2 linked regions of the Diceros bicornis minor genome follow. The protein of the gene in region 1 interacts with the protein of each later gene in a biochemical or structural test. Links are inferred from orthologs where the notes say so. Each region holds a gene or a part of one and is shown on either strand. Other genes may lie near its edges. The genes, in order: GNAQ and GRK2.

What was found.
Region 2: the proteins of GNAQ (region 1) and GRK2 form a complex in vitro, tested with the Homo sapiens proteins (3 studies listed by BioGRID). The link is inferred for Diceros bicornis minor from reciprocal best matches to the Homo sapiens genes GNAQ and GRK2.

Annotation. Positions count from the first base shown.
Region 1 is NC_080761.1:16,147,065-16,162,809, forward strand, and holds the start of GNAQ (guanine nucleotide-binding protein G(q) subunit alpha), read left to right. Parts: upstream 1-8,814; 5' UTR 8,815-8,939; coding exon 8,940-9,075; intron 9,076-15,745.
Region 2 is NC_080770.1:6,232,115-6,247,363, reverse strand, and holds the start of GRK2 (beta-adrenergic receptor kinase 1), read left to right. Parts: upstream 1-7,905; 5' UTR 7,906-8,110; coding exon 8,111-8,223; intron 8,224-15,249. UniProt on the Homo sapiens protein: Specifically phosphorylates the agonist-occupied form of the beta-adrenergic and closely related receptors, probably inducing a desensitization of them. Key regulator of LPAR1 signaling.

The sequences.
Region 1 (15,745 bases):
AGGATTGGCACAGATGTTAGCTCAAGGCTGATCTTCCTCACAAACAAAAAAAAAAAGAAAAAAGAAATTGTGGGGAATCTGCAGTGGAAAACTATGCAATGTCAAAAAGAAAAAGTACATAATACAGACCCATCTCTGAGATACGTTCTGAGTAGGAAAAGCAAATTACAGAATAGGTTGTATAGTATGCAACCATTTTTGTAACTAAAAGATATATATGTACTTCATATCTATATACGCATAGATATTTCTGGAAGCCTGCCAATAAACTAGTAACACTGGTTGCCTCTGGGGAGGTGAGAGGTGAGTTGGCAGTGGGAGGGAGACTTTCTTCTTGGGTAAAATTTTGTTCTATTTGAGCATTTTTCCATACGTCTGTACAACTTAAAAAATAAATACCAGCATGTACACTATCATTTTAATTGGTAAATAATTTCATATCTATCCATCTGAGTAGAAAAGACTCAAAACCAAACAAGAAAATGTAAATAAGAGTTATCTTTGGGTGGTAGGATTATAGATAATGTTCATTTTCTTCTATGCGTTTTCCTGTATTTTCTGAGCCTTTCCCCCCACCCCAGGACAATAAACACTGACAAAAATTTTAAGAATATAAATGGGCTAGCCCTGTGGCCTGCTGGTTAAGTTTGGCCCGCTCTGCTATGGTGGGCTGGGTTTGGTTCCCGGGTGTGTACCTATACAACTTGTCAGCAGCTATGCTGTGGCGGTGACCCACATACAAAATAGAGGAAGATTGGCACAGATGTTAGCTCATGGCTAATCTTCCTCAAGCAAAAAGAGGAAGCTTGGCAACAGATGTTAGCTCAGGGCAACTCTTCCTCAGCAAAAAAAAAAAAAAAATATATATATATATAATGAGAGGAAAAGGGAAATAAAAAATATATAAAGGTCTGATAGAGGCTGGCCCAGTGGCATAGCAGTTAAGTTTGTGCGCTCTGCTTTGGCAGCCTGGGGTTCGCAGGTTCAGATCCCGGGCGTACACTGACGCACCGCTTGTCAAGCCATGCTGTGGCGGCATCCCATACAAAGTAGAGGAAGATGGGCACGGATGTTAGCCCAGGGCCAGTCTTCCTCAGCAAAAAGAGGAGAATTGGCAACAGATGTTAGCTCAGGGCTAATCTTCCTCACACACACACAAAAGTATGCATATAGATAAAGGTCTGATGGGACAGTGAGTGGGGGAAGGGGCTAGCTTGGTTCTGGTGAGCACTGAGCCTAGTACCTACCAGCCCTGTGTTCTGCAGGACTGGCCTTACTTCCCGGCTAGAGTAGGCAATTATGGCTGCAGTATCCACCTACTGGCTGAGGCCTGCACATATGTAATTAGTTTTATTACTCTAACTCAGCTGTTCTCAATCTTGCCTGCACATTGGAATACCTGGGGTCATAAAAAAAACACTAAAAATATACCAAGCCTCACCCCAGACCCATTAAATTCAAATATTTGGGGTGAGAATCCAGCACCCAGTATTATTTAAAGTCTCCCCAGGTGGTTCTGATGTGCAGCCAAGGTCAGAACCAAGCTGTAAGCCGAGGCTTTAGTTGAAAATGCAAACCCTCCTGCAAGGGTGCTGAGATTTATTATCAGTAGGTTACGAGCTTCCTGAGGATAGGTAAAAAAGGTTAAATGAACCACTGATACTTTCCAAAAAAAAGGGGGACAAATTCTGAGACCAGGAAAGCTGGAGACCAAATATAATTTCCTCCAGGACTCACTCAGTTTAGAGGAAGGGGGCATCAGGAATAGAACATTGGGAGAAAACTCAAGTTCTAGTTCTGCTTTGCACTTCCTGGCTGCAGAACCTGGATCAATCTCTAGACCCTCTAGGTACGACCCTGCTGTAACATGTGCAATTGGATTAGCTCAGAGGTGTTGAAAATAGCCTGCAGGAAGAGGAAAGAGGAAGAAGTGCGGGGCTTCCCTGTCCCTCCTCCCTAATCAGTGTGTCTCCACCTTTGCCCTTGTATAGATTGGCTTCCAGTACGCTTTATTTTAAAGGAATGATTCCTAGATTTAAAAGAAATTCCCTGGATCACATGGCTTTTTAGGTCTCTTTAGTCTACAGTCTTTGCTTCTTAATGTCAGCCAAATAGTGAGCCTAAAATATTTAATATTTTCTGCATTTGTCTCATCATTTTTTGGGGTTTGATACCGTGTGTTTTGGGGGAGGCTGTGGAATCTTCTACTGCTTCCATTTGGACAATCAATGGCTTTTCAACCCAGTTCTTTTGTTCCAATTCCACAGGCAGAAATCATGTATATTTTTAAGTTGTAAAGAGTAGATAATCCTCCATAGCTCCTTCCTTCTTCAAAGTGACAAATTCTCCACTGGTGTGCCAAGTCATGTACAACTTCTATGCCAGGGCCAGGATAGGGTGAGGCAAGGGAGGCATTTACCTTGGGTGCAAAATTGAAGAGAGCACCAAATATGTTAGTAATCAAGATACATAATATTTTAAGGCAATATTTCTAAAAAATAATGCAAAAATCCATGAAGAACAAATTATAAAAATTTTAAATAAAGGGAGGATTACTAATAGTTTTGTGCCAAGCCATATTGGTGCCTCAGGCAAAAAAAAAGTGCCTCACTCACCTCACCCTATCCCATGCCCTATTCCACATTGTGCAAAGCACCCCAAATCTGGCTCTTAAGAATTTGTATAAGGATGGAAAGATGGAAGTATGTTGATGAATTTGGAAGGGGCCTTTGGAAATTTTTGTGGCTCAAACAGATTTTGGTAGGCCTAAGAGATAGGAAAGGAAAGAAAAAATAAAACAAGTGGGATACCTTTAGATCTAATTTTGTGGTCAAGAAGAGATATTTTATATTCCAATTTAAAATTGAAAAGCTATTAGCTTTCTTACATCTTGATAAAATTCATAATGGCAGACTGAAAAATTTACAAGGATAGTAACTCATTGAAAGGTTAATGTTAAGACCATTTCAATCACTGAGAAGGCAACACAACAGACACTTGTGTATTTTTCATCAACATGTGCTGTTTCATCAATTTATCACATATTGAGCAATTAACAACTTTGACTATATATTATGTCATGATCTCCAATATATAACATGCACACGACTTGAATTTGTGTCAGAAATACCAACTTTCATATAGTTGATTTAGGTGGAATTAATACATGTTTCCATATAGGTCTTGAACAGAAATACTGCATCTTCAGCTTTCTTGATATCCTACTGATGGCTGTTTTTCCTTGGTGAACTGATTTGAGGCAAGATTTTGAAGCACAGGCCAAGGAACGTTTTACAGAGGGAGCCAAGCTTTAGTGGGTACCATCTGGCTAAGAAAAAAAAAAAAAAAGGCAGACTTCATGTGGCCAATATATGTCTTCTTTGATTGGAGCATCTCTTTTTCATTCATTCAACAAATGTTTCTTAAGCATCTACTACTACCTCCCAGGCACTATTCTAGGTACTGGATTCAGGAGTGAACAAAACACAAAAATCCCTGCCCTTCTTGAGCTTTACATGAGAAATCATCAAAGGGAGATGAGTGCAATGGGATAAATGATTATTTGATTTACAAACACGGAAACAAAGAATGGGAAAGAAATCAATTGCCTCGATCAACTACTTGGTTAATTCCCAAATCCAAACCCCATCCTGCTAACTGCCTTAGAGGGCCCATCTGGAATGCCCATGTGTACGGTGTTACTGAATGGGGAGTATACACTGGTCCAGGTTATACAGCAATGGGGAGTAAATTAGGTGGTGGGAATGGTTGTCGTCTGGGAATGTAGGCCTGGGATTTGCCAGATCTTGAACAGGAATTGAAATCCAGATTTCTGTGTGAATGTCTTGATGTTTAAGTTCTGGCAGCTAATTCAAAATTTTCAGTAGCACTGTTAAGTTAAAAGCAACACTTCTTCAGCCCAAAGACCACCAGTTTGCACCCTGGGTCTTAGGTGGGAGTCTAGCAAAGCAGAGAGTCGGAGGTCTGGTGGCTCCCACTTGGAGCAACTCCAGGGCAGGAAGGAAACTCCTCTACTAGCGAAGTCATCCTTGATTCTTTGGGTGCCAGAAGGATCTGGATCATGATTTGGGGTGACCCGATATGTTGCTATCTGATTTTGGTACATATTCATTCATTCATTAAACATTAGTAAATGCCTTCTCTGGCTGAGACATTGGTCTACTTAGCTTAAAAATAGCTCCCATCTGGACAACTTTTTAGGGACTTCCAGTCTGATGGGACTTTGATAGCCTTTACACTGTGAGGTACAGTGGCTCCTGTGATAACGGTAACCTGGGATGAGCCCAGAATAGGTACATCGGATTGGTCAGAGCATCATTTGGACGCATTTCTGAGGTGGTAATGGAAAGATGTCATTGAGGTCCTCTGCTTTATCTAGAATATCTGTTTGGTGGCTTTGCAGGGTGAGTGTTTTCTCTTTTGGAAGAAGGTATTCTGTTTCATGCCTGGTCTTTCATCTTCAACATGTTGACCCTGAAACCCTTTTTCAACTAAGAATCATCATCTTTCTGCTATGAAAGCTGTCCTCTAGGTGGTGCCATTTGCAGCTCTCTCAGTCTCCCTGGGCCTGCTCGCCTGACTTCCCCACCAGCAAGGCCTCTACTCCTTGGCCAGACAGCTGTGCCAGCAAGCTCTCGCAGGATGTGCAGTGCTGCAGGCTGACTTCTAATTGTTCTTTCAGGTGACCCCTACTCCTTCGGGCTGCTTTGAATGGATAACTGCTCCTTCTTCTGAACTCCTCCAGCAATCCATTCTCATACTGTATGTTAGCAGCGAGTGCTTCCCATTTCACATTGTTGTTTATTCTTCTGTGCATGTGGACTGTCTGCCCAAATAGATGATTAAGCCTGTAAGGGCCTTGTCTGCCTCAGGCGTCTGGCAGAGTGCACTGCCTGGGACAGCAGTCTGTGAGTGTGTGTGCTGTGGATGCAGGTTCTGGTATTCTTTTGTTTATTCATCACTCACTGAGAAACTGTTGGGCTAGGCACTCTTTTGGGTGCCCGGAAAACAGTTATGAAAAACAAGGTCTATGCTCTCAAGCAGCTCTGAATCTCATGAGAGAGAGAGAGGAAGGGAGCGAGAGAGAAATCGACAATTACAGCCGTACAGTGCACGCTGTGAACAGCCACGCTAAGTGACTCTGGGAACAGAAGTGCAAGCTTTTCCTTCCCCAGGAGCTCCTTGTAGAAGAGTATGGCCTTTCCACTCTTTTACTCTAGGATCACTCTTAGAGACTCAGCTATGCCTTTTGGTGCTTTTCTTTTCCAGCACCCAAGGAACAGGGCCATATGATCATGGGGATAGGTATCTGTCTCAGGATACCATAGAAGAGGTGACAGTCTTCCCATTTTCCTCTGGTGTTCAGTGCTCCTAGGGTTTTGTGGTTGGCTTTTCAGCTATCTAGTAATTGCCCTTGAATCCTCAAAATGGTTTATCATCTTACTGGGGGTGATTTGGAATTGCTGATTTACTGTTTAGTGGTGTGGATACACATTTATTGAATACCTATTCATTCTTTAAGACGCATCCAAAAGTTCCCTTTCCTGTGAAGTCTTCTCCAGTTCTCCTGAACAGAATGAATTATTCCTTCCTTTTTATACCTTTATATTGTTACTTCTATGCCAACTTTAATATAAATTGATTTCATTTTGTCTTTTACTATAGCTGTGCAAAGCCTCATAATGATGTAAGACTATAAGCCTATTGAGGGCAAGGACCATATTGTATTCATCTTAGTATCCTCCCTCTTCCTGCACTTTTACCTTAGTTATTTACACATAGTAGGCAATGAATGTTTGTTGATTTCATGAACTGGGACTGGTAACATGATCCATGTTTAGTTGCATATTTTAGAGTATTTGCTTCTAAAACATGGTCCACAACTGCAGTAGTTTCTTCGTAGATTTTGTTTGCTTGACTTAGGTTGTATGAATATTTCCTTGGCAAATCCTTTCCAGATATATATGCAAAGGTTTCTGGATAGATCTGGGCTCAGACTTGGAATTTTCTTTTCCTGTTTCCTTCTTGACATCCGTATATGGCTTTATCACTGTCAAGTGTTGGTTTTCCTTACGTCCTGATTTCTTCCCAATACTTGAAGGAACATCCTTCTATTGATTTGTCTTATCCATTCAAATATCTAAGTGCCAAGGAATGCCCCTGATGCTAGGGATACAGGGGTGACAGAACAGACTTTGACTGTATCTACAATCTATTGAAACAGTTTAATTCCTTTCATCAAAAAATAGGTCAATTGAGTCAAAATGGATTACCTGATAGCTTCATGGCACAGTTTGAGAGACATTTTCAAAAATCTCAGGGGATCCTTGGCTAGGAAACCAGACACTTGAAGCTTCCTGACTGTCATGTTATCTTCTGGTGTTTTGTCTCTCTCTGAAGCTCACATATATCCATCTATTAGAGGATGCAAACTTATAATTAAGTTTTTCCCCTGAAGCCATTTAAAATTTCTGCATATTGAATTTCAATCTTCAATTTCATTGGTCATTTAATTTTAAACTTCACAGCAAGTCTAGTGGCTTTTTGTAGGCATTCACATGAAGGGGGGTGAGGGTTGTCCTTTCTGCTCTTTTGGCCAAGGTGAAATGTAATCATTTGTAGGCCAAATATCCTTTTAAAAAGGGAGCCTAAAATACAGATCTTATGTCTCGATGACTTGATTGATCTAAGCTCTGGCTTAGAGTGAGTGTGTGTGTGTGTATGAAGGGTAAAAGGTAATGGCAAATGAAAGAAGGTAGTCACACAGCTGTGGTTCAGGAAGCTTATGTGCACTCTTGACCTGTGGCAATAGTACAATCATGACCTTACTTTACACCCTGGATCAGCAGGTTGCACCAGAGACATCTCAGAGAAAACACAAAATGTGTAAAAGAGATTCCATTCTTAACATATAATTTACTCTCAAGACCTCAGGTTCCATTAAGGCAGAAAGCAGTATGAGTTTCACGTCTTGTAGCTATTAGATCCAAAAAAAAAAAAAAAAAACCTGAATGAGCAAGGAGATATTTTTGGCCATTTATCAGTCGTATATCACAACAAAATAAGGAAACAACAGTTTTAAGTAGTCTGCAACGCAAGTGTAAAAACAAAATACTAGATGAAACTTTGCCCGGGCGATCTTGGCTTTCCCATTTCTCTCTTTTGTTCTTTCCTTTTATTTTATTTCACATTATTTTGCATTTTCCCAGAAGTCATCCATAATTCAGTCTCGGTCTAGAAGGGTAAATTCGATTACTTGGCTGTTAAACATCGTGTGCCTTTTCAAAAATAGAGGAACGCTTGTAAAAAACAAAACAAAACAAAAACACCTTCCATGGCATGAAAAGTTGGAAGCTATCAGGAGGCTCTTGGAAACCTGGGCAGCTTCATTTTTCTGCTCAGGATTTAGATTTCTATCTCCAGGAACTTTGTGGCCAGTTTTGCCTGTTAAGCTCCCCCCACCCCTCCAGCAACCAGTGACAATTCCTTTTCCCCAGTCGCACTTCAAGAGGGTATCTTATTTTCTGCGACTGAACTGGGGTCAGAGGTGACGCGAGATACTTGCTAACCGCATGGCGTTTTAGGAATAGAGACGGCAGACAACACTGAAGTGGCTGAGAGCGGCCCCGGGGGCTTGACCGGCGCTGCCGGGAGGGGGGTCCCGAGTGCCGCGGCCGCCCGCGGGGAGTAGGACGGGGGTGCGCGGCGCCAGGGGGGCAGGGGGTGCGCGGGGCCGAATCCCGCGACTTCCCGGAGGGCCGGGGCCGCGTTCCGGGGCTGGTGGGCTGAAAGGCAAGCGGAGGCCGCCATATTCCTGCTCCACCACGCCCGGGCGGCCGCCGGCAGCGGCAGGTTGGCGGCGGCCCCGGCTCGCGGCAGCGGCCGCCGGTCCGGGCTGTGGCGCGGCGGCCCGACCCCGCCCCATCCCCGCCGGGGGCGGCCGTGACCGCTGCGCCCGCGGACCTCGCCGAGGGTGCGGGAGCGGGAGGCGCCCCGAGCCCTGGGGGCCCGGCCCAGCCGGGGAGCAGCGCGGGAGAGGCGAGAGGCGCACGGGGAGGCGCGCGCCGCGGCTGCGAGCCCAGGAAAGCTTTCCAGGAGGGGCCGGGCGGCACCGCCTCCCCGCTCCCCTCCTCCTCCTCCTCCTCCTCCTCCTTCTCCTCCCCCTCCCGCCGCCGCCGCCGCCGCCGCCGCCTCCCTCCCGGATCTGTGCTCCAGTTCAGAGAAAGAAGAAAATGTGTGTGTGTGGCGAAGGGGAGGGCGAGCACTGAGCAGCCGCTCCGCGCCTGCAATCGGGGCCGGGGGTGGGCGTCTGGCGGAGGCGGAGGCGGAGGCGGGGAGCGCGCGGCGGCCGGGCGAGCGGGCCGGCGAGCGGGGTTTGCGCGCGAGCCGGGCGGTGGGCGCGGGCAGGGCCGAGAGCGGCCGGAGCCGTGCCAGGCGGCGGCGAGGAGCGGGCTCGCCGGGCGCGGGGAGCCGTCGGCGGCCGCTCGCTGCGAGGTCGCCCCAGTGGATGTGCTCTCGCCGCCGGGCGCAAGGCTTAGGGGAGCCTCGGCGGCGGCGGCGCGGGGGGCGAGGCGGGCCGCCCGTTCCCGGGGAAGGAGGCGCGGGCGTCTGAGCGAGGCCGGGCGCAGCGGCCTTACCTCGCGCGCCCCCCGAGCCAGCGCCCGCGGCCGCCTCCCGCGCCCGCCTCGCTCCTCCCGGCGGCCCGAGCCGCCTGCTCGCGCCGCACCGCCGGCCCACCTGGTGGCCCCGGCCCTGGCCGCGGCCCCCGCGGCCGTTCCCCAGGCTCGTCCGGGACGCGCGCCCGGGCGGCGGGGGCTCGGCGGCCACCGCTGCCTCGGGGGAGCGAGGGCGGGAGGGTGTGTGTGCGCGCGTGTGAGCAGGGGGTGCCGGCGGGGCTGCAGCGGAGGCACTTTGGAAGAATGACTCTGGAGTCCATCATGGCGTGCTGCCTGAGCGAGGAGGCCAAGGAAGCCCGGCGGATCAACGACGAGATCGAGCGGCAGCTCCGCAGGGACAAGCGGGACGCCCGCCGGGAGCTCAAGCTGCTGCTGCTCGGTGAGTACAGCCCGGGGCCGGGCGCCGCGGGCCCACCCGCCGGGCCTTTGCACCCTCCGCCTGCCACCCTCGGTGCCCCGGGGCAAGTGCCCTCCGCGGCCCTCGCCCCCGGGCGCCGGCGGCTCGCCCCTACCCTTCCCGGGCGCGCCCCCGGCCACTACCCGCACCCGCGCGCGCGCGCGCGTACACACATACACATACACAGGCGCGCGCGCAAAGGGGTCGGGGTGGCCCTGCCCCGAGCCTCGGCGTGTGCCTTTTCGTGTCCCTAAAGGCTGTGTATCAGGGGTGCGCGTTTATCTGCTGTGCTTCTGCTAAATGGCACATCATTTCGGGGGAGAGGCGCGGAGGTGGGAAGGTGGCAGAGGGGTTGAACTTCCAGTGTGGTGGCCGCAGCGCTCGGTGGGGTGGTGGAGTGGGGAGTTGTGTGTGTGTGGCCCGAGGGTGGCGAGCGGAGCCAGGGTACGTTGGGGGATGGCGTGCGGTGGGGTGGCCTGTGTGCATCCATTATTAGTGCTTTCTGGGTTCAGGAGGGAATGGTGGAATGGTGGGCAGACTCGCAACTGGATTCTCCAGGCAGTGATGATGAGGGAGCCGAGTGGTTGGCCCTCCAAAGAAAGGAGGCTTGTGTACTCTGGGGGCGGGGAGGCGAGCCCTAATGTGTCACATAAGTGCTGTTCTCCAGCCACCAGACCACCGAAAGGAGAGACCTAGAAGAGTTTCTTGACCAGTGGATGGTGACAGGCGTGTTTCTCGTCTGCACCATTTCTTCTAGATAAAGATGAGGGATAGGGGAGCGTTGTGCTGTGTGTTGACAGCGACGAGTATCTTTTGTTTAATGAGGCAACCCAGATGTAGGCCTGAATTCACAATAGTTACTACTGAAAACCAGTACAGCCTCTCAATTACTCCCGTGGAAACAAATAGAAACCTTTTGTTTAAAACGGACAGCATTTTAATATTTTTGGAATCTGGGCTAGAAGGAAAACGGAAAGTATACAGCAAAAATTTCCCTTTAATCTCTTAAAAAAAACAATCCCACATTCTGCCTTAACACTAAGTTAGCAAGAAAATGCCATTTCTCAGATAGGAATTCTATTGATTATTATCTCTGAGAGTATGTTCAGAATGAACGATCAGGGTTCACATACAAGCCAGTGTGACAGCTCTGAGCTATTGTGGTAGGAAGAGCAAACAGCTTTGCAATAACAGGCCTGAAAAATGTCTCCACTTGTGTTCTGGATATTTGGTGTGTAATAAATACGTTTCTCAGACATTTCTGTAAGAAAAGGACGTTATATTGTCAGGATTTGAGAAGCATGCATTTTCTTTCTTATCTTGAGCATTCCATCTCCTGGTTCAAGCAACCAGTGGCCTTTGGGACTGAACTGCTTATGTACTGGATCATTTACAAGAAGGAATGAAATATAATGATCATGGAGAGTTACAAATGGTTAATTCACATGCAGTGCTCTATGTCTTCATTTTGAAACCAGATTAGATAAATGTGCACATGTTTATAAAGAAGAGAAGGCAGAATGCTGGATAAAAGAGGTAGGCTTTAGGGAATGAAGCCAGGGGAAGGGAAAACTGCCATTGGAAAATGAAGATCTTTTTATTTTTCGTTTTTATTCTCATTTTGGGCTACTTCTAATGGCTAAAACTGTGTAGTTGAATCGGTTTTCTGAATTCTCAAGATTGAGAAGAAAATAGAAGGGGCAGGAGAAATGTATATAGAGTATTTAAGTACACGATTAAGGGGAAAAGCATGTGTGTTAGAGAGACTTAAGAACAGTTTTTCTATTTCTTTTGCCCTGTTTACAGTCTTTGTTTCTGTTTTGCTGTGAATGGGGCATTTGAGGTCTCCCAAGCCAACCCTATTGCCCAAAATGTGACAGCTCTGGGTTCCTAGCAGCTGTGCGTTAGAGCCCAGGGGGTTTGTCTGTCTGGGGGCCCAAGGTTTGAATGTCTAGGAGGAGGATTTTTGGGGAAATACACATATATGGATGCTTAACTACAAACTGTGTGTTTAAATAACATACTGTGCTTTAAAAAATGAACTTGGAGATAATTTTATGAGAAAAAATTAAAGTAAAACAGTTTTACTGCTAGTGGTGGTAGTTCGGAGAACTTTTGTTTTCTGTTGTTAGATTTCAGTAAGGTTTAATACAGCCCCATCCCCACCTCCAAATATGCTCTATTGGAAGTGGTAGAAAAATATGACATTAATTTAGCACCTACACTCATTAGTAACACTTAAAATTTATAAGGCTTTCTGTTAGAAACATTATCCCTAGACATCATGTAAGAATTGCTACAGCTTCCTGTTCTGGGGTGTGTTGCTTTTGTAACATAGCTTCTGCAATACCTCCACTATTTATGTAGTAGATGCTATATACTAATTGTAGATTTATGTGTGCTCATGAGCCTGTGATTGCACGATTTCTTGAGTCCAGGAGAGAAATGATGGTTGACTTGAACCAGAGAAGGTGTTGGCAAGGGGTTTGAGAAACTCCCGGTGTGTTCCTTTGATGAGTGCACTGAATCTTCTGGTTCCTTCATTCTTTTAAACCGTACCTATCCAAAGAAGGTCACAGGATGTATCCTTGCATAGTTGAAAGTTTTACCAATATTTTTAACTACTTTATTCAAATTGAGGAATCACTCATATTTACATGAAATTCAGTATGAAATTATTTTCAAAGTAAATTTTAGTTTAAGGCATGACACCATTTTGATTCAGATAGATTTATCTGGCAGGCATAAAAGTGTGGACCCTTACATTTATTCACATAATTATTTAATTTTATATATTGATAATATGGAGAAATTAGAAAGGGAAAATAGTGGATACCTGCCTGGAAGAAAGTATGGCAGTAAAATTTGGGTTGTTTTGATATATATCCAGCAATTATGCCAATGTGTTCCAAATTCTATAGTACTTACATATTTTGATTTTTATTCTTTTTTTTAAAAAGGAACCCAGAAACCTACCGCCATAAAATATCTTATTAAATTCTGAATTCTTTTCTTGTTTTCTTTAACTTATTCATTCTCTGAATTCATTTTTTTTTAGTGTTTATTTCTTTTGATACCTCAAGGAAGACTTTGTATTCTACATATATGCAAGAGAATATTTTAACTTGGTTGATGTTTTTATATACTTTCTGGGTGTAAAGTACATTATATTTTCTTTAATTGATTAATATTCATTAATATTAACTAAATATTTCTATTGGTGGTACATGGGTCACACTATTTAATATCAGTATGTCTTTAAGTCTGTATAAAACAAGTGGTTTTGAATGCCTGCCTCCAGTTGCAATATTCATCCTGAAATTTTTTTCAGTTCCTTGAAGATACATTTTTTTTCCTATTAACCTGTTCTTATTTTACATGTTTTTGAAATTTGTACTCTTCAGATTTTAATCATCAAATAGGAAGATTTAGCAAACTCTGTTTATTGATTAGATTCCACCTTTTGGAAACAGGCAAAGTTTAGACCAGTCTTAGATGGAAGAATATATGTTGTTGATCTTTTAACTGAATTGCATATGTGATTATAGATTTTCTTCCTTTTCTAGACTGGAAGCTTCTGAGGGTAGCGATTGTGTCTGTGTTGTTCACTATTAAATCCCAGCTTCTAGCACAATGTCAAACTCATAAAAGGCTCTCAATAAATATTTGTTGAATGAGTACATTTACTTATGACTCTTCTGGTAGAAATTGGGACGTTAAAATAATGAATAAATCATAGAGACACGGAAATATGTAATGTTTGTATTCCATGGCAGATAAAATCATAATCTTCTTTAAAAAACTGTATGTAACTCTTTGAGCCAATTGAATACAAATGCATTCCAGGATCGGAAGTGTTACTGTAAGATGTTACATCACATATTGACCCAGTGTATTACAGTTCGTGCTGGGTGCATTTGGGAATGATACCGGTCATGCTTAAAGTATGAAAGTTTAAAGGAAAAAAAAAAAGAAACCATTCCATATCTTGATTACTTTTTTTCGTGTAGAAGCTAGTTTAACTCTATCATCTTTTGCCATAAATGTTTCTCCATGATACACTCATCGGAGTGGACTTTTAAATTCTCTGGAGCACAGGTGATAACAGATTTTTGCGATTTACTTATACAGTTACGTGAGGACAACCACAGTGATTAAATACAGAATTTTGGAATTGCAGGTAGAACCTTTTTAATTTGAGGGGTATACATTTGTACTGAAAACTGTACAGTTACAGAGCAGGAAGGGACCTGGAAGGCTGGGAATGCTATGGCAAATTTAGACTGTATGGAGAGTTCATTCATGCAGGTCTGGATACAAGCACCCGCCCCCCTACCCCTCCTGGAGTTCACTGGAGGAAGAATGGGGATGTTGATTGCCTGAATTAACCGTGAGGTTAGTGGCTGTCTAGGATGGCTGCTCAGAACCACAGAATGAAAGCATCTCTCTAAAGCAGCCCTAATAGCAGCATCTCCCTGGAAATACCAAAATATGGTGTTTATGAAGCTGCTTTAAGACAAACCAGTTTTATTTTTGCTACTCTTTTAGCTTCCAAGTGTTAATTATGTTTCTAAATGTCAAGATTTATTTGAATGCATTTCCTGTTTTTTTTTTTTTTTTGAAATAAAGTACTTCTAGTTTATATCTGAAGAGTGAAGTGGAACATCCCTCATAAAATTAAAAACTGTAGCTCTGAGCCGGCCCCGTGGCTTAGCGGTTAAGTGCGCGCACTCCACTGCTGGCGGCCTGAGTTTGGATCCCGGGCACGCACTGATGCACCGCTTCTCCGGCCATGCTGAGGCCGCATCCCACATACAGGAACTAGAAGGATATGCAGCTATGGCATACAACTATCTACTGGGGCTTTGGGGGGAAAAATAAATAAATAAAATTATAAAAAAAAAAACCACTGTAGCTCTGACTATATAACAAAGCCTTCAGAGTAAGATTTTTGCATTGAACCGTGTGGATTCATTGTCTAGGTCTGCCATATAATTGTCAATCCTGTATTGACGTGTTAGTTCTTCATATGGGAACTTTGGCACAAATGAAAACCCTTCTGAACAGTAAAATTGTCCTGTGTATATCTATTCAAATGTTTTTAGGTATGTTTAGAAAGGAGAACCAGAAGAAGAATTGAGTAGCCATTTTGTTTATTACAAATAAATTTGATAGCCTCTTTTTCATAAATAAACAAAACAAAACCCACGCTGTGCTTTATAAGAGATGGCTTATGTTCGGTTTTCAGAGATGCCTATTAAATATAGTTATGATTTTTATCACAGATGAATTTTTAAGGACCTGAAACAGCTTTCGCAGTTGTGAGGCTGCGTGCTATGCTAAACTTAGCAGGAAAAAAGGAACAGATTTTTCTTCATGATCCAGGCAAACTTATGCTTGAAAAGAAATGAACAAGATTTTCCAAGGATGATTATGATTCCAGCTTTCAGATTAATTTTTCTTTAAGGGGAGGTTATTAGTTCTGTTGATATTAGTGGAAATGTTGATTAGGTGCTGTAGAGAGAAAATAGGGAGCTGACAGGGAAGAGAGAGAAGCCATTTTAAGAAGGTTAGGATTGCTTTCTCCCTCAGAAGGTAGAGGGAATCTGTTTCCTCCAGACTGTATGTTTTGGGTTGAGGGAAATACAAGTATTTGTAGCAACAAATAAAGTCTAATTTCCTGGTTGAAGGGAGAGGGCAGTGACATTTTTCAAAAGGAAACTTTTATAATGGCTTTTAAGCAATGTTAAGATCTCTGCAGCGTTAATCCTAGGGAAGTGTGAAATAGCAGTAGAAGGTAGAATGTGTGATTGTTGGTAATTAAATCTGTGGCAATAACTGACTACAGTAAACAGTGAATGTTTTCTCTTGTTCTGCCGAATGGAGTAACGTTAAAGAAAGAGCTATTCTCAGACCCAAACACGCTTTTGTGTGAACAGCTGTTACTAATAAAATTATAGGAAGTTGTTCGACAGTCACCTTTGATTTGTTACGTTACTGATATGTAAAAATCTGTCTGATTTCTCATCTAACGTGTAGTAAAAAGAAAAAAAGGACCTAAACGTGCTGTCAGAAATGAGTCCATAAATCCTAGGTGGTCATGCATCTGAACTTTACAAACAAAAATAAACATCCATATTGCGATGCCGAGAACCAAAAACTAAATTCGCTCAATAGCTCTGGGGTTGGCTTTTATACCTAGCCATAATTTCTGAAATCAGTGCAGAATATTTTGCTAAACGCCTTTATGGTTCAATGTTAAGAACAAAATTAGTATTATTTAAGAATAAAGTTAGGATATTTCGAATTCATTTATTCAATAAACATTTGCCAGTTACTGGAAAATAAACATTACCTCCAAATTTTTTACCAGGCATACCTTAAGAAAGAGTAGTTGCATGCAGAATGCTGATCAGATGAATAAGTATTAAGCACCTACTCTGTGCAAAATAATGTGCCTGTGAGACCCTCCTTATTTCTTATTTGCCAGCAGGAAAGACTACAAGCCCTTTTCACAGTTCTTGTTGTTGCACAGCTAATGCCCTCCGACTGACATGTCCTTCTGAGTATTATCCTTCCTGGCTTTGGCTTTTCTACTGGCTGTAAATACAAAGAAAAAGACAAAATCATCTGAAGGCCATTGTAGAAGCTT
Region 2 (15,249 bases), on another chromosome or scaffold:
TCCAGAACCTTGACCACAGCAAGAGCCCTGAGTGGCCTCCCGGCCTCCAGTCCAGCCCCCGGTCTTCCATGTTGGCAGCCAGAACATTTCTCTTAAAAGATAGATTTGACTACTACTTTGCTTAAGACCCATCAATGTGTTTGTCTCAGGATCAAGTCCTCAAGCTTCTTCACTCACCATTTGCCCCTCAGCGTACTCCTCTCCACCCATAGCCAACTTTTTTCAATTCCACCATATCTGGGCCTTTACATGTGCTGTTCCCTTTGCTGGTACACCTTCCTCAGTTTACATGTTACTTCCTCCAGAAAGCCATTTCCCATCCTGCTCAAGACAGGGTCATGTGCTCCCATAGTATCCTCCTGCTTTTTAGGACTCTAAAGTCCGCCTCCCCAGCTAGCCGGGAACCTCCCCCAGCACAGGGATCAGTCTGTTGCTCACCATGTCATCCTCAGTAGCTGGCGCAGAGCTTGGCACATAATAGATGCCCAAGAAACACTACTGAGTGAGTGTCCCCAGTAGCTCGGATACCCAGAGGCCTATCCCTCCCTGATACAGTTGCCACGTTCCCCAAATTCACTTTTTCCACTCATACATCTTTCCCCTTGGTTCTTGTCCTAATGCTACCAGCCTTTTTTATTTTTTCTTGCCTATTTCCAATGTAACCTGGATTCAGCTATGAATTAACCTTCCTAAGGCATGCACAGAAATCTTCAGTAACCCTCCAGGGTCAGGTGTCAACTCATCCTGCCACTGGCACCTGTAAAATGGGAAGCACCATGGTTAGCATGTGGCAGGTGCTTCTGTCTCGAGGCCTCGAACTGGAATCCTCTGTGGTCCTTGGGCTTGCTGTGTTTAGCCTCGCCACAACTATGAAAATTCATGCTTCCTTCAAACACCTCTTCCTCCAGAAGCCCTTCCTGTTTCTCCTCCAACCAGAAGAATTAACTTGGACATTCTGTGCCTTTTCTAGCCAACGACAACATAGTAAAAACAGCTGACATGTAATAGGCCTCACTATGTGTTAATCACTGTTCTAAGCACATACATGTAGGAACTCATATGATCCTCACAGCAACGCTACTATTTATTTATTTTTTGTGAGATCAGCCCTGTGCTAACATCTGACGATCCTTTTTTTTTTTTTTTTTGCTGAGGAAGACTGGCCCTGGGCTAACATCCGTGCCCATCCTCCTCTACTTCATATGGGATGCCGCCACAGCATGGCTTGCCAAGCAGTGCGTTGGTGCGCGCCCGGGATCCGAACCTGTGAACCCCAGGCCTCCGCACTTAACCGCTTGTGCCACTGGGCTGGCCCCTACAGCAATGCTACTACTATCCTCATTTTAAAGGGGAGAAACTGAGTTACGGACATTAAACAATCTGCCCGAAGTGACTTGGCTAGTAAAACCTGGAGACTCAGCTCCGCAGTTGGTCCTACCCACCTGGCCTTCTAGCCTTTGTGTACATGTGATCTAATGTCCTGCTCACACCCAGCCCCAGGGGGCAGGTGTCTTCATTCTACAGATGACAAAGCCAAGGCTCAGAGAGGTGAAGTGATGGTCCTAGAGTCAGTGGCAGAGGTGGGACATATGTGAACACTGGGCCTGGGACACCTGGGACATCTCTCTCGTGTCCTGCTGAGCATCCAGCCCTCTCCCATGGCACCGTGAACTCCTTGACGGTGAGGCTAGCCTTAGCCAGTTCTACCTCCCCCTCATCTGTCCCAGGAGTGGGGGGAGAAGGAAATTTACTGAGCAATGTAAGGTGGGTGTATGGGATGGGAGGCAGGACCGACTTTATGGGTGAGTGACCATGCAGTCACACAGGGCCCTGCACTCAGAAGGACCCCACACTTAGCTTAACACTCTGCTGTTGCCATCTTGAAATTCTTAGTAGTATTTGAATAGGGGCTCCGCATTTCATTTGCAGTGGGCCCTGCAAATGATGTAGCTAGTCCTGGGGCAGGGACAATCCCAGCTCTCCTAGGCCAGCTCTGTGCTAAGTGCCACTTCAGTGGCCAGCAGCAGAGCAGGCCTGGCACTTGCTGGCTGGGGAGACCTGTCCTACCATCACCTTTCCAGGTGCCCAGGCCCAGAAGGAAACCTCAGCACCAACACTCATGTGTGGGCTGGTAACAGTGAGAGCAGGCACCTGAGGTCGAAGAGCGCCTGGATTTTGCCCTCGGCCTGGCGCTGTCACCTAGCTTCTGCCTCCCCCACTTGCCCCATTCCAGAGCGCTACAGGGGGTAGGCAGGTCCAGTTGCTATCCGCCCAGAGTGTGCCATGAGAGTGCTAGGATGGCAAGACAGAGGGACAGAAGCAGAAAGGGACACAGACACAGACACACGGAGAGAAAACACCCTGAAACACCCAGAAAAGGAAAGACAGAGAAAGGGGGAGGGGAGAAGAGAAAGGAAAGGAGAGAAAAGATACCATGGAGGACGCCTAGAGAGAGACATCAGTGAGGCCCAGGATACTCCACGTGTGACAGTGGCCACTGGGCAAGCCATCTCCCCCAGCCCAACACTGCACACACATCATCTCTGTTAATCCTCAAAACAATCTAGTGAAGCCAGGCTGGAGGCGCTCCATGTACAGATGAGAAAGGCAAGGCTCAGAGAGGTTAAGCAACTTGCCTAGGGCACCCAGCAGGGGCAGTAGGAGGTGACACTAGCATTTGACCCCAGGTCTTTTCCACACACAGACTCCCTCCCCCCGACATGGCAAGTACCAGTGGCCACAGCGTGGGGCCGGTGGGGACTACGAGACCATGCCTCGGACACTCCCAGGTGAGCTGGCAGGGTCAAGGCACAATCGTGCGCGACACGAACCCAACAGGCTTCAGCGCCAGGCTGTGCCGCGGCCGACGGCGCGCACGCGCGCTGGGGACGGCTCCAGGAGGGCGCCGGGGGCGGGACGCTGCGGAGACCGTGGCGGGGCGGGGCGAGGCCAGGGGCGGGGAAGGGGGCGGGGCTGGCCATGGCCCGGGAGGGGCCATGGGCGGGGCCGGGGCTGGTTTCGGGGGCGGGGCCGGGCCGGGGCCATGTCCGAGCTGAGGTTCTGAGGCGGAAAAGGATACGGGCCCGGGGCGGTCGGGGACTGTGCGATCTTCCGGAGAGTTCCAGGGAGAGGCGCTGCTCCCGGGAAGCAGGTCGGGCGGAGCCAGCGGTCAGGAAGCCCGGCCCAGGGTTGTGGGCCGGTGCCTGCGGGCCGAGGGGCCAGGGGCCGCCGAAGGTCCTTGGACTGTGGCAGGAGGGGGCGAAGGAATGGCGTCCTGGAGATGTGGGAGCCTCCTGGATAACCAGGGCCCTTTCCTCCCTCAGGGCCTCCGCACTTCATTTTCCACATGCCTAAAAAGCTCTCTTGTCTGCCCCTAACAAAACTGCTTTCCTCCCATCCTTCTGGCTCTGGCAAAAATGCCCTTCCTTAGAGGTTTCCCTGGCTTCACCTGAGGAGGCTCCTGGCTCTTAAATTAACTTGTCACCTGCCTCATAAGGATGTTTTGAGCATTAAAGGAGATGATCCGGGTTCTAGGCACAGTACCCTGCACAGAGTGAGAACCCAATAAATGTCAGTGGTTATTATTATGTGTAGGTTGCTGGTAAATTCACTGCCTGTCTCTCCCTATGTTGGATCCACAAGGTCAAGCCCTGGCATGTAGGAGCTCGACAAATCTTGCGGCATGAGTGAGTGAGGGAATGAAGCGAACTCCCAGCATCCTAGCTGGAGCCTGGCACTGTCTGGGCCCCCGCTGTCAGAGAGGTGTCTGTCTGTGTTAGGCAGGAGTTTCTCCCGATCAATCTGGACACCCCTCCTGGGGTCAGGGAAGCCCCCAAGCTCATCCTCCTGGATCTTCAAAGCCCAGGACGATGGAGATGGAGACGTGAGGGGCTGCGGTGCACTCCTGGGCCTTGGCACGTGCCAGTCCTCACTCACATTCACATGCACACAATGTCAAGTTCAAGACCTTCCCCATTCCTCCTCTGCCCTCTATGACCTTTCCCCAACCCTTCCCCTGACCTTCTCCTGAGTGCTCCACCTCCTCAAATCATAGCTCTTGCCGGGTTAATTGGAGGTATATGTTTAGGGGTCTTCTTCCCCACTGGACTGGGCCACCGCTGAATCCTGTTTCTCTTTGCAGCCCTAACCTAGTGCTGAGTGCCATGCTGGTTGTGAGGGATGCAGTAGTGACCATGACAAACAGGGGCGCCAAGGGAGAGCCCTTGAGCAGGAACCTTTCAGCCCACGAGATGCAGGGTGAGCAGGAGCCCACCTTGCCGGAAAGGAGGGGAAGGACATTCCAGACAAGGGGAATTATGAAGTCAGGACCCCAGAGGTGGAAATGAACTTAGCTTGTTATAGTGACAGAAGGAAGACCAGAGAGACTGGAGACTAAGGGGCCCGGGCATGAAGTTGAGTTAGAGAGGTAGGCAGGAGCCAGACTGTGCGGGTCTTACAGGCCACAGAAAGGGGGCTGGGTTTTATCCTAAGTGCAGGGGCAGCCATCGGAGGTGGGGTTTGATTTAGGCCTGTAAAAACTCTGACTAGAGGAGAGGCGGGGAGCCCTGAGAGGAGGCTGGTGCAGGCATCAGCACCAGGCGGGAAGTGATGGGATTCGGATCGGGTTTAGCAGGGCACAGTGGAAGGATTCGGAGTAAACTTTGGAGACAGACACACCAGGGAGTCGACAAGACAGGCTGGATGAGAGCATGTGTATGTGTGAGGCAGGGCAGGTGAGGGAAGACAGGAATCAAGGATGACTCCTAGGCTTTTGGAAGGTGGAGGAGCCACGACTGAGATGGGGAGGCGGGAGAGCAGCGGGTTGGACAGCGGCTGGGTGGTGGGAGCAAGAGCTCAGTGTGGGACGCGTTAAGTTTGCAACACCTATTAGTCATCCAGGGGAGATGCCAGGTACTGATGTGTATGTGGGTCTGCCAGCTGGGCAGAGATGGGGTTCCACCCCTCTTTCACTCCCAACATCCCAGCCGGAGGCTGGCACAGTCTGGGCAATGACAAAGGTTTGCTGAGACAAGGAATGACTGAAGCCAGCCTGAAAAGACAAGTTTACAGTTGACCTTCCTTCAACCACCAGAGGGCAGCACCATCCAAAAAAACCAGCCTCCCCAGGCCATGGACTGGCACCAACCTCTTCCCAGCCCAGGGCTTCAGGAGTGGCTTTCCAGGATCCCAGGAATCAATGAGGGGTGCCCTGGACACTGGCTCTTTCCAAAGTCCCCAGGCTTCAGGCTCACCAGGGCTGCAGGTTGGGCTGTGGGTGGGAGAGGCAGTGTGGGTTTTCAGGCGGTGGGGGGAAGGTAGGGCCACCTTCTGGAGCAGGATGGCTGGCATTTCAGAACCAACGGGGATTCTGGTTTGACAAGTTCATCAGGCAGAATTTTTAAAATAGGAGCTGCTCCAGAAAACCCAGGTCAGCGTGTGGCTGTAATCAGAGTCCCAAAGAGTTGAAGAGTCAGGGCGGGGCAGGAGGGAAGGTGAGAGGCCTCCTGTTGTGGCATCCTCATGTGCCTCTGGCCCTGTTCTGCCCCAAACTCCACGTGCCACCTTGGGCTGAGGAGCTCATTCACTCAGTCAGTCATTCATTCATCAAACATTGACTATGCCTTTCTGTGTCAGGTCCCATGGTGGGAACTGGGGGCAAAGAGATGAACTGGGAGCATCAGTTACAGTGGGAGATGGTAAATACTTTTTTTTTTTTTTGGCACACATTAGCATTTCTGACATCAGGGTGCATTTTCCAATCCATGCAAACATGTTATAAAGCTTCACACACACCCAGTGTCTAAACTGGAAATGATGCATCTTGCAGTTGATGATGTTTTCAAATCAAGGAAATAGGTGGTAAGTGTAGAATTGGAGATGCACACAATGGGGGTCAGGGTGTTGGGGAAGGCTACCTGGAGGAGGTGGGTCTTAAAGGATGAGCAGGAGTTAGCCAGGAAGAGGGCACACAGAGGGCTTCCAGGCACAGGGAAGGGCAATGGCACAGAGGTAAGAACTGGTGGGTGGGCTGGTAGGGGGACCCTAGGTGCAGAGGATGGTGGCGACACAAGCTGGAAAGGGGAGCAGGGCCCAGGCATCCAAGACCCTGACTTGCAGGTTAAGGAACTTGTTCACCTGATCTGCTTTGGGCAGAGTGGGGGTGTCCCCCATGCTCAGCAGCTCCAGAAGGCCTCGAACACTGCTTCTTGGTGCTAAGCAGGCAGTAACTCCATGAGATCTAGATGTGGGAGCGGCATCTCTGGTCAGGGCCTGTATCAGGGCAGCAGCCATGGGGATGCTGAGAAGCAGACAGGTTCAAGAAGACAGGTTCTCAGGAGGCCAGACAAGAGGGTATGGTGATAGATTAGGGCAGGGGGAGAGAGAGGAGTCAAGGATGATGCCCGGAGATCTGGCTTGGGTATCTGGGTGGATGGTGGTGTCGCCCACTGAGAAGGGGACCTTGCCATCTCTGATGTGCTCTGGTTCCAGACTCTGCCAACGCTGATCTCAGAAGGTAGCCTGAGAGGTGTACAGGGAGGGGGGTCCCTGCTTTGCAAAAGGGTCCTGGTTACTGGCCCACAAACTGTCATGAGGCTTGGGCTCCATATGCCCGGGACTGGGAGGGGATCTTGTCACCTTGGAAAGCAGAGAGAGGCTCTAGAGAGGGGCATGTTGAGATAGGGGGTGCTGCTTTGAGACACATGGATCCCCCTACTGTGGGCTCTCAGCAGAGGATGTTTCCCTTACCAGGCAGCACTGAGACCCCTGTGCCCTCCCAGGCTAAGAGAGGTTTGAGCCCGTCTTGTGGAATCATGATGATTCCATCATAATGCCATGGATGGCCTGGGGTGCAGGCCAGGACCTGGGTCTACAAGCCAGTCCAGGGAGGGTAGGGGTTGGTTCAGGTTGTTTGGTCCCGAGTGGGAGTCCTGGGGTCAGGGTTGGGTCTGGAGCAGGAGGGGTAAGAACTGACTGGGCTAAGTCTGGAGTTGTCATGTCCCAGGTTCATGGCCACCTGTTAAGGGTTCTAGGTCCAGTCTGGGTCCTGATTGGATGTCCTGGTCCTGGGTCCCCGTCCAGAGTTCTTGGTGTTGGGTCTAGGACCCTGGTCTAGGGTTGACAGTTCAAGTCTGGATCTGGGCCCTGCCCCCAAGTCCAGGGTTTAGGGTCACGGTAGTGGTCTGGACCTGGGGTTGGAATCAAGGTTGGGGTCAGTAACCAGGATGGGATCCAGGTCATGGTCTGTGGCTGGGATCAGTGTTTGAGGTCATGGTCTAAAATCTGGATCTGGGGTCCTGTTGGGGGTCTGGGGTCCGTGTCAGGGTCTGGCTGTGGAGTTGGGGACCCCAGGTTGTGATCCAAGGTTGTGGTCAGAGTCTGAGGTGGTGGTCCAAGGTTTGGGTCTAGGGTCCTGTTTGGAGTCTGGGGTCAGGAATGTTATCCAGGTCTTATGTCACGTGGTGGACTGCGTCCAAGGTCAGGGAGTCAGGGGTTAAAGCCAGGGTCTGAGACCCAAGTCCCTGGGATCATGTTCTGAAGTGCCAGTCTGGGGTCAGGGCCGTGGTCTATCCTGGAGTCTGGGATCCGAGCTGGGATCCGAGTTGCGGTCAAGGTCTGGGTCTAGGGCCTCCTTCGGTGCCGGGTCCCTGTCGTGTTCCAGGTCTGGGGTCAGGGTCACGGCCCAGGCCCGGGGAGGGGTCGGGTCTGAGTTGGGGTCCGGGCGGCCACGGGGTCAGGCTCGGTCCGCCGCACGGCCTCCAGGGGGCGCCGCCGCCCGCCCGCCCTCCCGGCCCTCGCGGGTTCGCTGGCGCTGTGCGCGGCAGGCGGGGCCGGAGGCGGCGGCGGCTCCGGGGCGGCGGTGGCGGCGGCGGCGGCGGCGGCGGCCCGACTGCAGTCCCGGCGGGAGCGGAGCGAGCCGGGGCCGGGCCCGAGCCGGCGCCATGGGGCGGCGCCGCCTGTGAGCCGCGGCGAGCGGAGCCGCGGGCGCCGAGCGGGGCCGGGCGGGCGGCGGCGCCCGAGGCCGACGGAGCGGCCGGGCCGGGCCGAGCGCGCCGAGCCGAGCGGAGCGGAGCCGAGCCGAGCGGCGGGAGAGGCCGCCGCCGCCGCCAAGATGGCGGACCTGGAGGCGGTGCTGGCCGACGTGAGCTACCTGATGGCCATGGAGAAGAGCAAGGCCACGCCGGCCGCGCGCGCCAGCAAGAAGATCCTGCTGCCCGAGCCCAGGTGAGGCGGCGCCGGCGCCGGCCCCGGCCCGCGCCCGCGCCTGCGCCCGCGGGCGCCCTGCCCGGCCCCCCGAGCCGGCGCCCGACCCCCAGCCCTCAGCCCCAGACCCCCCAGGCGCGAGCCCGGGACCTCTCAGCCCGTCCACCGCCCCGGGACCCGCAGCCCCGAGCCGACCCCGCAGCCCCAGGCCCCGTGCACCTGAACCCGGGCGCCCCAACGCCGGGGCTTTCCTGCCCCGCTGGCTCCTCGAGCGCTCCGTACCCCCCGCCCCGCTCTACCCCCCTGTCCCTTCCTCCACTCTAGCTGGCCCTCATCTCTGTCGGCCCCTGCTCCTCCCTTCTCCCACAGGGGCCCCATGCCTCCCTTCATCCTCCTCCGGGCAGCCCGTGCTCCCCGTGGGGTCCCCTCCTCCGGCTGCCACCATCTACCTGGCCTGACTCTATTGCCCATCCTTTTACTGCCTCTATTCTGGGCACCCCCCTTGGGGTTCCACTACCCCTACCCCTAGCCCCCTCTGGTCAACACTTGTGTGAGATCTGGGGGAGACAAGTCTTCCGGGGTCTTCTGCACCCTTCTGGTCGGTCGCTGGCTTGGAGTGGGGTTTGAGAGTGCTTTGGGGGCCAGGGTGGTGGTGAGGAGCAGGGTGTGGTGTGTGCCCCATCCCAGTGGGAGAGACGCCCCCTGTCCCTCTCCCCTCGCATTCCCCCTCTGGTGGGCCCTGCCTGTGGTGCCCTGTGGGTGCTGTTTGCAGGGGAACATCCCAGAACCCTGCAGCAGCTGGACCAAGGCTGCCCCCTCTCCATGAGACATCTGATGTCATCACACCTGGTATCAAAGTTGAAACTGTTCAGGATGTAGTATCAGAAGTACACAGGATACGGACGATAGCTGAGGCTTGTCCAGCGTTTTATGGCTTCTAGAGTATTTGCTCGTTGTTTGAGCCTGACAGCAGCCCATGAGGAGGTAGGACAGGTGTGGTTTTGTCCCCATGGCACAGGTGGAGAAGCTGAAGCCTGCCCAGTGTCACAGGTAATCCAGAGTGGTGCCTGGCCCCCAGATCAGGGCTTCCGGCTTCTAGTTCCATATTGTGTCCACCACTCTGGCGTGAGCCGGGGCCTGGCCGTTCTGCATCTACGAGAGCCGTGTGCCCACCACGAGTCCTCATGTCATGTGGCCAGGCCAGTCCCAGCACGACCTCCATACCTGCCTGAGAGTTGGCATGCTGGTGCCTGGCTGGCCCGGGAGCCTGGGCCTGTGCTAGGTGTCATGGTCTTATCATGTGACTTTGGGCAAGTCCCTTCCCGTTTCTGGGCCTCGGTTTTCTCATCTGTGAAATGTGGATGGTGTGAAATAATGGCTGAGACTGTGCGGCGTTCTGAGTCTTTGAAGCAGGGCCCGAGGCTGCAGGGGGTGCCATGCTGATGTCTCCGGTTCCCCCGTCCATGCCTTGTTCTTGCTGGGTTTCGGGTTGACTGCACACCAGGCCTGGGAGAGGAAAATGGGTCTGCATTTTGAAAAGGTCGTTAGAGCCCTTTTTTTCTAAGACATTTGCAGTCAGATTTCTCAAAACAGGAACCAGACTGACTGTTAGCTGGGGGCTGTCCAGGGAGCGGCAACAGTTAGAACAAAAATGAGTTCAGAAATGACAAAGCCACGAGGGAGGAAATGGGGGAAGTCAACCTTTGGGGTTCTCAACGGCTCTCCTTGGTGGCCGCGGCCTTGAGACCCTCCTGCCGGTTGGAGTTCTGCAAAGTGTGAGGCGGGGCCTTTTCTGGAACTCTCTGCCTTTGGGTAATCTCTCCCCAGAATGCATTGCTCCTGATGGGGCCCCGCCTTGGGTTGGCCATGCAGGTGTTAGAACCCTGAGAAACGAGGCGTTCCTCTTTTCCTGTCCCCTTTACCATCCGTGGTAGTGATGGTGGCGACAGGAGTGATGGTGGAAATTATAATTTATTATTTATTTTGACATCTGTCATCTCAGTTGATCCAAAACTCAACCTGTGAAGTTGGCAAGGCTGTGCCTTGCGTGTAGTAGTTGCTCAAGAACTATCGGGACTGTGTGGTGTCAGAAGCCAGGTGGACTGCGAGTTTTAGGGGAACAGCAGGAGACGGGAGCCAGGTGTCATGGGTTCTCATATAGGGTCACCATCTGGCAGCACGACCTTGGGCAGATTGCCCCCATCTGTGAGGTGGACCAGAGGCTCTAGCAGTGACTGACAGTGGGCTAAGGACAGGGAAGGGCCAGAGCCACTCTGTGCAGCAGGCCGGGGCTGGCCCTGGGAGTCCAGGTCTCCTGCGTTGGAGGACACGTCACCCTTTGCTTTATGCTTTGCACACCCAGTGGGTCAGGTGCCTCCTGCCCTGGGAGGTCATCATGACTGTATCTTGTGTTTGCCTGGCACGTCCCAGTTTGCTTTTTACTCCATTTTATCCTTTTCACAGCTGTGGGCAGCAGGCACAGCAAGTGGTATGCTCCCATTTAATAGTTGAAGCAACTGAGGCTCAGAAAGGCGGGGGGGGGGGGACACACTTGGTCACAGAGACAAGCTAGAATTTGAACGCGGGTCTCTGCACCCCCAGGGGCTCTCTCACTGCTGTGCTTCGTTTTCTCCACACACGCCTCTGCACCTCTGCTCTCACCCCCTCCATGTTTTGTGGAATGTGCCAGCTGGCCTCCCTCCTCTGGGGAGCTGGGGGTCTGGGGAGGTGGCCTGGAAGCAGCAGGGCAGCCCCCAGCGCCGTCAGCTGCCTGGGTCTCAGGCCCAGCCCCCTCCCCCTTGGCTGGGACAGAGCTGAGGTGCCCTGGCAAAGCTGGTGCACGGAGCAGGCAGTTCCAGGCCTGGGGTCATGTCTTCCCCCCACTCACAAGGTCAGAGTGAGGGAGGAAGGCCACGGTTTGTCCATGACAAGGTGCCATTTGGAGTTGTTCCCACCTTGGGGTGGTCCATCTTGGCAGCCTCCCTGTGGCTGGTGCCCGGCTTGTGGCTTGGCTGGGAGCTGGGGCTGGCATCTCAGCTCTGACTTCGCAGGGCTGGGGAACGGGAGCTGTTGGGCACAGTGCCACTTAGAGTTGGCACAGGGGCCTCCCATTCTGTCACCCTATAGAATCCAAGGAAACAGACCCATTTCTCAACCTTCTATTGGAAGGAGGCAGCATCGTGTAGCTGGAAGACAGGAGAGCTGGCTTCTAATCCCGCTGCAATACCAGCTCATGTGGGACCCAGGCATGTCCCTTAGGCTGGCTGAGCCTGCCTCAGTTTCCACCTTGGTAAAACGAGAGGGCTGCACCTTCACCGATGACCTCTCGGGGTCTGTGGTCTGTGCCTCTCCCTGGAGGAGCCGTTGTCTCCTTCCCCAGCAGTGGCTGCAGTCCTGTAATTATCGTCATTTTCTTAATATGACCACGGAGCCCTTGTGTAATTAATCTCTAGGCTCCCGGCTGAGGAGCCCGGCCTGGGCGGTCCCAGGAGATGCCCCTGCCCTCCCTGGTGACAGTGGCAGCCCCAGCAGCAGATTGTCGGAGCCGGGTGCCTCTTGCAGCCTCCCATTTTCTTGGCTCTTTCCTGGTCCCTCCCCCACCAGGGATTTCCTCCTTCCAGCCCTTTCCTGGCTTCCCTGTCTCCCAGACCCCCCACTCTTCCTCTACTGCTTCGTCGTTCCTGTTAACTCTTTGCCTCCAGGACTTCCTGCTCTTGGTTTGTGGGGGGAAGGGGTGCAGGGGAACGTTTTCTCCCTTCCTCCTCCCTCCACTTCTCCATCACCAGCAGAAACCCTGCTGTTTCCAGCCTTTTTCCCTTACCCAGAACTTTCCACTCCAGTAGCAGTGTTCTCTCCTCTCCTGCCCCTGGAAACAAGATTATCTTTTCGGCAGGCAGTCATTCCCTCTGGGCCTTTGAAGCCCCCGCTTTCCCCAGGAATGAGTCTCTGGGCCGTCTTTTCCCATCTGTTCTCCTTTCCAGAGCACGGGTTTCACATTTTTGCCATTAAGTTGCTCGCTCACTCACTTACCCGCCCGCCGTTCCCTCGGTAAATGGATTTGAAGGGAGCGTGAGCATTACAGGTTGGAATCCGTGCAGGGGAATATGGGCTCTGTCAACCCGGGAATAACGTGTCCTATTAATGCACGATCAATTCCTAGTAGTAAATTCCCGGTGACGTCAGCTGTAGGCACACTCCACAGCGGGCGGTTCCTCCCGCCCCGGGCACCCAGGTCGGCTTTGCAGGCGGACTGAGCGCTCGGGGGCTTGAAGGTTCAGGCTGCGTGCACGTGGCTGGTGCTTCCAGGATCTTGTGCTCGTGCCTCGGAACAAACAGCAGAGCCTCCATCACACCTGCCCTTTCTTCCTGTGGCCCCTCCCCGCTCTCCTGTGGCCCCACAGGCCAGTGTCCTCCGCTGCTCGCATAAGATGGGATTACACTCAAGTTATCACTAATCTGTTTCCATTAAGGGGCACTAAAAATGAGGTGTCTGGCTGCAGCTTTTTTCTAAAACAATAGCATTCCTTCTCTACATCGCTCCTTTCTGCAAAGGGTAGCGTCTACGCCGGCAGAAGAGCAGGGTTTCAGAAGTGGGTCTTCTGTGTCAGCAGCTCTGTCCTCTGAGGGGGGAGTTCTCTGACTCTGGAGGCTGTCCTGGGTTTGGGGTGGGGGACAGCCTCCTTCTGGGAACTGCAGGGCAACGAGCCCTGGAAGTTTGTTCTTGGTGCATTCTAATGTGGTGGCGGTAAATTCCAGGGTGTGGTGTTCATGTCATATTCGTGTAGAAGCCATGACATATGACAAGGCCGCCAGAGTGTCTCTTCCCGCACATCCTGCAGGGAGCCACTCTGAGGCCGCCGTGCCGTCGGGAGCCTGGGTTGCTGTGGACATTTGCAGTGGGCTTGTGTGTGTGGTGCCTGGTGGGGGTCATCTTCTCTTCCAGGGCCGAGGCTTGCTCCAGAGTTGACGGTGTGGGTTGGGCTTTCCCATTTGGTGTGTGGCCCTGTCCTCGGGCTCTGAGGATATTGTCAGCCCCAGGAAGAGTCATTGAGAAATGTTAATAAGAAGCCCCAGGGGACTTCCTCCTACCACTGCCACCTCACTGCCATGTTTCCTGGAAATGCCACAGAGGAGTACCTCAGCCGTGGCCACAGCCTCTGTTGTGCTGGCTTGTTAACCATCATCTCCCAGGGCATAGCAGTTCCCAGGGTGGCTGCACCAGACCCGCCAGGCCCGTAGCCCCCGTGCCAGCTCGCACCATCCTGGGATTTCGTGGCTCTGGCATCCTTGTCACACAGGAGCACAGGAACCATGGCCCCTGGCCTGCCAGATGCCAGCTAGAGCTGCCCCAGCCCGATGGGCTCCCGGGAAGGATGCTGCACAAGGCCGGGGTCACCTGAGACCCTGCACCCAGCTCTTCCTCAGAGGTTGAGGGGAGGCCTCTGCCTAGCGGAGACGCTCTCTCAGGGAGCCTTGGATGTTTTCTCGGTGTGGGACTCTGGCCAGCTGCTCAGCTTCTTCTAGCCTTGATTTCTTTCCCATCAACGCGTGTGTGTTGGCTTCTGATCCCTGCAGTCCACATAAGCTACAGTCTATGACCCTCAGTGGGCCCAGGCCAGCCCGCCAGGTCGCTGCGCCACAAAGCGAGAGACTGCTTTTCTTCTGAACCACATGGCGCCGAATGGTACCGGAAGTTCTCCCCCTCAACCCTCACCCCCTTCCTGCCATCCTGTCACCCCAACCCGCACTCGGGGCTGGGAGGGAGGAAGTGCTCTCTGCCTCAGCGTCAGGCTGGGCCTGCTCAGAGCAGCTGCGGCCAGAGGGAACAGCCTAGGCTGTAGGTGGCAGTGCCAGGCAGTTCCCTGCCATGGCGGGGTAGGCCTTCTGCCAAGGCGCCCTCCATGCTTCGTCAGGGCAGGTATCAGGCTCTGCCCACTGGGGCCCGCAACTGAGCAACAGGAGTGCATGAGGCTGGTCTGTGAGCAGAGTGGAGTTGCAGCCGCTCGCCTGGCTCAAGGAGTGCTCGTGGGCCCAGCTCCGGTCAGGGCTCCCCGGTCAGGAGGCCACCTGGCCATAGGCCCTACCCTCTGAGGACATGGCAGATGTGAGACAGAGACCCAAACAAGGCCATGTAGCTTATGATCACGTTCTAGAAGGAGACGCAGGCTGTGGAATCCCAGAAGGAGGGCTTCCTCCAGGAGGGGGACACAACCTGCTGGCCCTCACAGTGAGGCTGGCATCTTAAGAGAGTTCTCCTTTGCTGTGTCCTCTCAGGCCTTTAAATGGCCAGCGCGGTGGTGGCGATTCAGCATTTTGTTGACATCCTCATTTTACAAATGGGGAAACTGGACATTTAAAGTTTGTGACTTGGCCTGGCCTTCCAAAGGGAGAGCCATTTGGAACCCAGGCCTGGGCTCCCATCCGACCGTGAGAGCAAAGGCGGCCCCGAGGCCCTTTCCCAGAGGGACTGGGAGCCTTCGAGTCCTTCTGGTGGGGAAGATGCAGACACTCGGCTTTCTTGACAACCCAGAGTCGATCTGGGAGCCACATGCTCCTAGATGTCAGGGTTGTTGACCTGGGTGGGGGCAGGAATGCTGCTCTGGGCTCGTTGCCACTCCAGGCTCCACCAGTATCAGGGAGCAGGTTTTGGAGACAGAGGGGACCTGGCGCAGGAGGCTGCCACCGCCTCCCGTGCCAGCCGGTACTTGCCACCCTGACGGGAGCTTCCCCCGTGACACATTTTTCTAACCTGTCCACTCCCTCAGCCACCAGCCCCGTGGGAACGGACAGGAAACCCTCACGTTGCCGCTTCGGGGGCCTTCCCTTCAAGGGCCCTGCTCAAGTCTGACCTCGTGTTTGGTTGGGGGGGGTTGTTTATTTTATTTAGAAAACATTTTTTTCTTTTTAAGGAAGAAAGTAGAGCACTGTGGGCTGGGAAGAATGCCGCGGCCATCCCGTGCGGGCTTCTGAGGGAGGCGGGGTCTGCCTCCGAGGCCACTCGGAGCCCGGGCCTGCTTCCTGCTGTTCCCTGGGCTGAGCCAACAACAG